Nothobranchius furzeri: one gene and its partner. The protein of the gene in region 1 interacts with the protein of each later gene in a biochemical or structural test. Links are inferred from orthologs where the notes say so. Each region holds a gene or a part of one and is shown on either strand. Other genes may lie near its edges.

Region 1 (4,388 bases):
CAAATGTGGTCTACACTATTATTCAGGACAAAAAGGGTAGATTAAACACTTTCAAGGAAAAATATACTAAAAATCTTTACATAGTAGTAATAAGGAAAAGATTTGCTGTAGAACAAAGATCAACACAGATCAAGCAGCTCCTTCAGCCACTCGGAAATGGAACCAAACTGAGAACATTGATGTACAAACTGGACTTTTACAAATTGCCTTCTCACTCTTTTAACCTGTTGTTTATTATTAAATTAGTAGAATTTTCCCCTAAATTGTTCAAAATAGTCTGTACTGTAGAGGATTAAAAACTTGAACTGTTTTAAAAACATTCAAGAACTAAACCATCGATGTAGCATATTCCAGATTAGATGCTGCATACAAACAGTAACTGTTACACAGTGACTGAGAGGTTGGTTAAATACCTAAAAGTAAATAAACACAGCTTAAGAAACTAGTTCATCCACCTGCTGCACCTGCTGATTGATTTTTCCAGTCTTTACTCGAACCACACCTCTCTGACTCAGCTTGTAGTGACTACACAGCAGACTGGTTCTCTGAAAAGTTGATTAAATACCGCCTTTGTTTTTGTTCACTTTGATACCAAACTCATGGAGTTCTTAAGGGACGTGTCTCTGTATTATTGCCGCATGACGTCATTCTATATAAGCATTTGATATTGTATGGCCATTGCATTACTGTCACACGGTTCTGTTGGTTTAAAAAATAGGTTAGGAGTTCCACAGCGTCCTGCAGTGAGTCATGTCCTTATCCCGGCCGTGACTTCCATTATTATACTTTGGAAGCAAAGTAATGCCCTGAAATAGGTCAGGCAGCCTCACTGTTAATAAATTAAACTGTCAACATCTATGGAGAAGTAATAAGAGCAGCATTGACTGTTACATGAGGCATCAGATAACCAGTTTCATGACATTTATTTTTTCTTAAAACCTCACGTTTTTCTCATTAGGCAGCAGCTGTCCTGTTCCCTGCAGGAAATATTTAAAGTCACTGCTAAAACACTAAAAGGAGCTCTTGTGTTATCCTAATGAGCTCTGTGATTTACTGTCTGAAATGTGCTTTTGCAACCTGCTCCTTGGTTTGATGCAGAATTTTGTTGACATTCACTCGTTTGATTTCCTGTAATTCAATAGCAATGGGTAAAACTATTTGTGGGGCACAGAGCAGCAGAAACATTAGTAGCATAGCAGCAGCAGGAGTCCTGAGCGAATGGGCCAACGCAGATGTGACACTTTACCAGAGCTTCAGTCTAAAATGCAGCACGTTGGACTGTCATGCTTTTGTTTGTTTTTCTTTATTTTCAGAAGAAAAATGCTAATTTGTCTGTTTTTTTTTTTGGAGGCACAGTCGAGTTACGCTAGGCTTTTATTAGAATGCAAAGCTGAGGAAAAGGTTTTCCAATTATCTTTAGAGTAGCTTTGTTCTTCTTTATTGGGCCGAGGAATTTTAAAGGGGCTAATGGTTCGGTTTGAAAGGTCATGTGTTTGGGTCATGTCTCCAAACAGAACCACTGGCCTGCTCTGACTAAAAGCTGAGATCAGCCTGGAGAGGAATGTAGCTTGTCACCAGAGCTATTTTGGCAATGCGCAGCTACTAATGATTGTGATCACAGCGCATGGAGCTGTTGCGTTTGCTCTCGTTTTTTTTTTCCACCAGCAAGTTTGATCATGTACGTCTCGCCAGCCCTACAGGGATTAGTGAGTTGAACAAATGTCACATCAGCTCCGTTTGCATTTTGCGTCAAGGAGAAGCAACACGGACCCCCTGTCGGAAAGCCTCAGCAGCCAAGGTGAAGAGAGTGGAGTCAGTCTGTCGGCTCATGGCCCAGCGGAGAATCTGGCGCACAGCTCTGTTCACTTGAAGGTGACTCCTCTGTCACCAGACGTTGCCAGCAGTCAGTGCTCTTCAGTGTTCATACCCAGGGTTCACGCTGGAGGGTGTAATAAGAAGAGCGTTTTGCAAATTGCGCTGCAGCCCTGTGGGAAACTCGGTGGAAAACTGGATTGCAGTTTAGAAGATGGAGAACCAGGGGCTTGTGAAGTTGGAGCAGGTACCGGCTCTGACGGAGGTTCATGCAACAGCAGCATGGCCAGCGATGCGGGGTACTGTAGCAGCAGCAGCATCTTTGAGCCAGAGCTTCCAGAAAAGCACAGGACAATCCAGGAGAGGACTCTGCTTTGTCGCAAGTCCAAGGTCCCGCTGCGACGATGCTCCTCACTGATTATTATTCCGAAGAGCCCATGTAGCACTCCACCTGCTTCCCCAGGATGTGCTGTGACTCCGTTTGCTTACCCACTGCCAAAGGGTACTAATCAGTCACATCTTCAGACGTCTTTCAGTGATTTCTCCCAAGAGAAAGTAGGGGCGAGCTCCACTGTAGCAAGTGGACACCAAACATCAAAACGAAGCTGCTCATCTGAACTTAGGGACATGAAACACATGGTCCACTTTAATATTCCTCTACAGGATGGAACAAAATGCAAATCAGAAGGCAATAGCGCGTTGATGGAGCTTCCGTCAGCCTCAGACAGACCTAATCTTCACTCTAGCAGCGTGCTGCTGCATTTTGCCCACCAGAAACCAACAGTATCTACCAAGGGAGTTGTGGAAATGGTTGCAGCCAACGAAGCTCACCACCAAGTTCACCTATCTCAAAGGGAAAACATCAATCACAGAAAACTGTATCGCAGTACCTCTGCTTGTTTGTTTTCTTCATCCAAGCCATCAGAGAAAAACGATAAAAGCGGTTTGTCTGGAAAAGATCAAATCGGGCTTGGTGAAAAGCATCGTGCCATACAGAGGAGCTTTTCCCTCGAGGTGCCCTACCCTAACACTGGAATTTCATGCCACGTTTCTAACCCCGAGCTCTGCAGCCCTCGCTCCCCACATGTGCACATTCATTTATCCCCATGCTACCCCGGAAGGTTGCGAAGCTCTGTTACAGATGTTAAGAATCACAAAGAAAGTAATGCAGTAAAGGGTTCAGTTCAAAATGACAAGGTGAGTATGACATTTCTAACTCTTTAGAGGCTTTATATTGATCACCTAGTAGCCTTTTGTCAGCACTCTAGACCTGCTGCCACTGTTGTCAAACAAGTTTGAGTAGATTCCACTCCGTCATTGGTTCAGCCTCTCCTGCATCAATGTTCAGACATATCGAGAGTTTCTAATGAGTAGTATAAATAAACACCGCTTGATTAATTGTTTGTTGTAAACTTGCAGCTTTTAACTGATTGGTTGTTTTCATCAATGAAAATTTCTAAGTTCCAGTACACTGGAATAATGTCACCCTAAAGTCTTAAACTGTTTTTGCTTTGACTTTAGCATTAGACTGGTTACAAGACTTCTAGTAACTGAGAAGCCCTTTAACTTTAAGTCATGTATTTAACAAGCTGTGTGTGGACAAACATTCAGAGGTGTTCAGTTACATTACAGTAAATCCATCTGCATATTGGATACCAAGAAATGTGTAAATTAGAAAGACAGGTTCTCCATCTTGTGAATACCAGCATTCATCAGTGTGAAAACACAATTTCAGTAGAGTTTTCCACTTTTATTATTCTGTTAGCACTATAAGTGATCAGGTTAAGTATTTACCATGGCTATTTATAGAGTTGGGAAGCGCAGTGCCCCATGCCGATATAAATAAGGTGCCTCTGAAATATTCCCCCTGACTCCGGATAGTCTGCTGGTCTGTAGCACTGCCCAAAACCTGTGGATTCAAATTTAACAGCATGATACTAGAGTGGTGCACAGTCATGTCGGCTATCTGCGTACATGTGTGTGTGTGTGTGTGTGCTCGTTTCCAAGTAAACGGGTGGCGTGCTACCATCCCTGTGGGTCCCCCCACCAAGCAATGTTTGTGAAATATCAGCTGTCAGTCTCTTCCTGCGTTTAGCAGGTTGTCAAAGAGGGTCCACTTAAGACTTTTTAAATCTGCAAAGGTTTGTTTTCATATCCTTTTACTAGGGCTGAACGATTTTGGAAAACAATCTTAATTGCGATGTTTTCTTCAATACTGCAATTGTGATTGAATTCACGATTATTTTCTCAAGGGGTTTTTCTCATATTTTTCAACTAACGGAAGCAGAAAAAAAATGTAACTTGTACTGAATATAAACAAGTTTATGTATCTACATATGTATCTACATATCATATCAACAAGTTTATTTGTCTACACATCCATAAACACTCACAAGCCAAGACAAAATCTTGTATTCGAAGGTGCAATGCTTTGCAGCCAGGAGCACATCCCTTGAAGTCGCATAGGTATTGGCATCACCTGTGAAAATTTATTTGCAGGGAAGAAATGTGTCCCGTTTATTGAAGTCTTTTGTGCTTATAGTTTTTGACGTCTTGTCCATGCAGAGCTACTGTAG
Region 2 (3,652 bases), on another chromosome or scaffold:
TGTTTTAAAGAAGTAATGGAGCTTCTAGTGTAATGCTGGTGTGCTTTCATGGCTTTTGTGCTGGTGGTTAAAACCATCATCAAGGTTAAGTGGTGTGGGCTGTAAGGAAGTCAGTAACCAGTAACTTGCTTCCTTTGTAGTCCCTGTGGAAGCAGAGCTGTTCACCCTGTTTCTTGGGAATCGCCTGTATCTGAGCTGCTCTCCCAAAGACTCCATCCATACTGTGAACTGGACCAAAGACCATGCTGCTCTTGTGGATGGAGAACACGCCCACATCCACAACGGTCAGCTGGAGATCGAGGCCGTGGAGCTGACAGACTCTGGCTTGTATGGATGCACCACCTTTGGCAACCACAGTGTGTTCTTTAATGTGTCAGGTACAAAAACACAAAACTGTAAAATGTTTTCATGTGTAATTCTTGCTTGCTGTGCTTCTGATTTTGTTAGAGATGCACGATTGAATATTTCCTGTTTATTTTAGTAGTTAGGCTGCATTTTAATAAGCAGGTCATAAATACTCATTTACTCGTCTTATGTTGCAAATAACTTCCAAGGTAGGAATGATTCTTTTTGCAAGATTCAAAATAGGTTTATTTTCACAAATCTGACAAATGAAGTGAATTTTTAGTGTTGTCTTTTTTTTTCTTTTTTTTTTTGTTATAACTTCAAGACCTCTTGTCCTTTAATGTTGCATCACTGGTGAACCTGAATGTACATAAAGTTGAGTTCCCAAAATGCTTTTCTGCCCACTAGTTGATATATTGGCATCATCTGAGGATGATGACGATGAAGAGGAGTCTTCATCAGAAGAAAACAAGCAGTTGGCCAGTCAGAAGCTGATGCGTAAGTGGTCAGATCTCCATATACTACCATTGCTGATTATTGACTCACCCAAGAAGGATTGTGAGTAATTGTTGGGAACAGCCAGTGATTTCAGAGCTTTATAATTCGATTATAGGCGTGCCGTGTGTGTGGGTCACAACCGGGCTAATTATTTCACTCAGATTCAGACCTTCTCCACTGCCTCTGTGACGGCTCTTACATGATTAATGTTCCTGTGGTGATTAATCGTGGTTAACCTTGGATGAGCCCCAACTTGTCTATAGTGTAATTAAAACAGTTTGGCTTTCTCATCTTCTTGCTACTTCCCGCTCAGCCCACAAAGAATCCAGTAGCTGCCAAGCATGAAAAGCATGTCGACCTTGAGTTTGTTGCCCGACTTATCTCTCAATGAAATTTACACTCCACAAATGACTTTTTTGAAGCTGGAGTTTTTAATTAAAGTGTTTGTTTTTAATTAAAAAGAACTGCCAAGCTTTTAAACTTGAAATGTTTTTGTGATGACTGTGATTTTGAATGCATTCGGTTGTGGTCTAGTTTATACTTGGCATTTTGGTTTTATCTGATACAGTGGGTACAGAAAGTATTCAGGCCCCTGTCAACATTCACTTTGTTATATTGCATTCACTTGCTAAAATCAATTAAATAATTTTTTTCATTATTAATGTACACACAGCACCCCATATTGACAGAAATTTCTGCAGAGTTATTAAACAAGAAAAACTGATATCACATGGTCCTAAGTATTCAGACCTTTTGCAGTGACACTCGTATATTTACCTCGGGTGCTTTCCATTTCTTCTGATCATCCTTGAGATGGTACACCTTCATTGGAATCCACCTGTGTTCATTACCCTGATTGGACTTGATTAGGAAAGACACACACCTGTCTATACAAGACCTTACAGCTCACAATGCCTGAAGAGCGCAGAGACAGAATTGTGGCAAGGCCCAGATCTGGCCAAGGTTACAAAATATCTCTGCTGCACCTAAAGTTCCTAAGAGCACAGTGGCCTCCATAATCCTTAAATGGAAGCACTTGCTAAAAGACACCTGAAGGGCCCTGAGATGATGAGAAATAAGATTCTCTGGTCTGAGGAGACCAAGATAGAACTTTTGCCCTTACTTATAAGTGGTGGTGTGTGGAGAAAACCAGGCACTGCTCATCACTTGCCCCGACTAAAACTCAATTGAGCATCTCTAGAGAGACCTAAAAATGGCTGTCCACCAACGTTCGCCATCCAACCTGACAGAAGTGGAGAGGATCCCCAAATCCAGGTGTAAGAAACCTGTTGCATCTTTACTAAGATCATTGCTGCATTAGCTCATAAGGGTGCTTCTGCCAAATACTGAGCAAAGGGTCTGAATACTAAGGACCATGTGATACTTCAGTTTGTCTTTTTTAATAAATCTGCATAAATTTCTAACATTCAGTGTTTTTCTGTCAACATGGGTTGCTGCGTGGACATTAATGACAAAAATGAATTTAATTGATTTAGCAAATGGCGGCAATTTAAGTTTGAAAAATTGACAAGCCTGAATACTTTCTGTACCCACTGCATACTCTGTATCTAATGTCCCTTTCAAATCAGTCACTGCTTTTCCAAAAATGACAAAAAAAAAGAAAATAAATGTAAATTTTTAGCTTTAAATGGCCCAAATAATTCTTACAAATATTTTACAGGCAGAGAGTGTCCTTAATTAAATTTAAGGTGATTTGTTCAGATGAGTGGAAATCTGAAACAATCAGGGTTTTAATTCCCACCACTAAGGTTGTGGGCAGTCTGCAAGAAATTTTTGTTTTCCTAAGACCACTTTTTGTTTCTTTTTAACCAGATAATTCTTTAGTTAAAAATTCTAAATGTTTTAAATTCCCTTCATTTAAAGCATGTATTTTGCTCTTGTGAATAGCAATGGCCCCGCAGTGGGCTCATCCAGAAAAAATGGAGAAGAAGCTTCACGCTGTTCCTGCCAGTAAGACAGTGAAGTTTCGATGTCAGGCCAGCGGCAACCCAACTCCCACTCTGAAATGGTATAAGAACGGAAAGGAGTTTAAGAGAGACCATCGCATCGGGGGCTTCAAGGTAAATAAGAAATTAGCGTTGATCATCTTTTCCTCCTATTGACACTTCCAACTGTTTTACCTTCTATTTTTAATTCTGGGATGTTTCACTACCAAGATGAAGAGTCTGATATCTCCACATTAGCTCACAGCTCCTCCCCTGGAGTAAAGCACTTTCTGCGGGTGTATAGGAGAGACAAGTTTCACAGTTGACTTGAGACACAATGCTGTTTGAAACCCTATGCTATCAGAAGGAATATTGTGCTACAGTTATACCTTTAGGTCGGCAGTCCTAGCCATCTGTTTAGGTGAAGCAAAGCAGCTCGCTGTCCTCTTCCTGGGTGACACTGATCATCTTTTCCGTAATTACATCCATGCAGTAGTAAATTTACCTCCTGTATTCGTGAAGGTAATGTGATTACTCTGTCTAAATTTCTTCCTGTTTGCCGGCAGCCTGTATTTAAATTTGTGAGGGTTGAAATGAAATAAAGATGGATAGGACTATTACCTCGATTCTAGTCTTACCTGATGGGTTGGATCTTTTATGGATTTCTTTATGCTGTTGTGTAAAGGCTCTAAATGTTACAATTGTATATATTCAACTAATTTGATTTTTAGGGACTGGAATAAACTTTAATTCTACACTTTATTTGTTATTGATTACAGATTTAAGGGATTAAAAGTGTTGGAACCAGGTTAACCCGCTTCTAACTTAAGGAAATTACATTCAGTGATTATTTTCTCACAGGT

What was found.
Region 2: the proteins of nedd4a (region 1) and fgfr1a form a complex in vitro, tested with the Homo sapiens proteins (2 studies listed by BioGRID and IntAct, with this or other methods). The link is inferred for Nothobranchius furzeri from reciprocal best matches to the Homo sapiens genes NEDD4 and FGFR1.

The regions. Positions count from the first base shown.
Region 1 is NC_091749.1:60,023,826-60,028,213, forward strand, and holds the start of nedd4a (E3 ubiquitin-protein ligase NEDD4), read left to right. Parts: upstream 1-1,512; 5' UTR 1,513-1,719; coding exon 1,720-3,009; intron 3,010-4,388. UniProt on the Homo sapiens protein: E3 ubiquitin-protein ligase which accepts ubiquitin from an E2 ubiquitin-conjugating enzyme in the form of a thioester and then directly transfers the ubiquitin to targeted substrates. Specifically ubiquitinates 'Lys-63' in target proteins.
Region 2 is NC_091757.1:34,228,860-34,232,511, forward strand, and holds part of fgfr1a (fibroblast growth factor receptor 1-A), read left to right. Parts: intron 1-140; coding exon 141-377; intron 378-753; coding exon 754-843; intron 844-2,751; coding exon 2,752-2,924; intron 2,925-3,652. UniProt on the Homo sapiens protein: Tyrosine-protein kinase that acts as a cell-surface receptor for fibroblast growth factors and plays an essential role in the regulation of embryonic development, cell proliferation, differentiation and migration.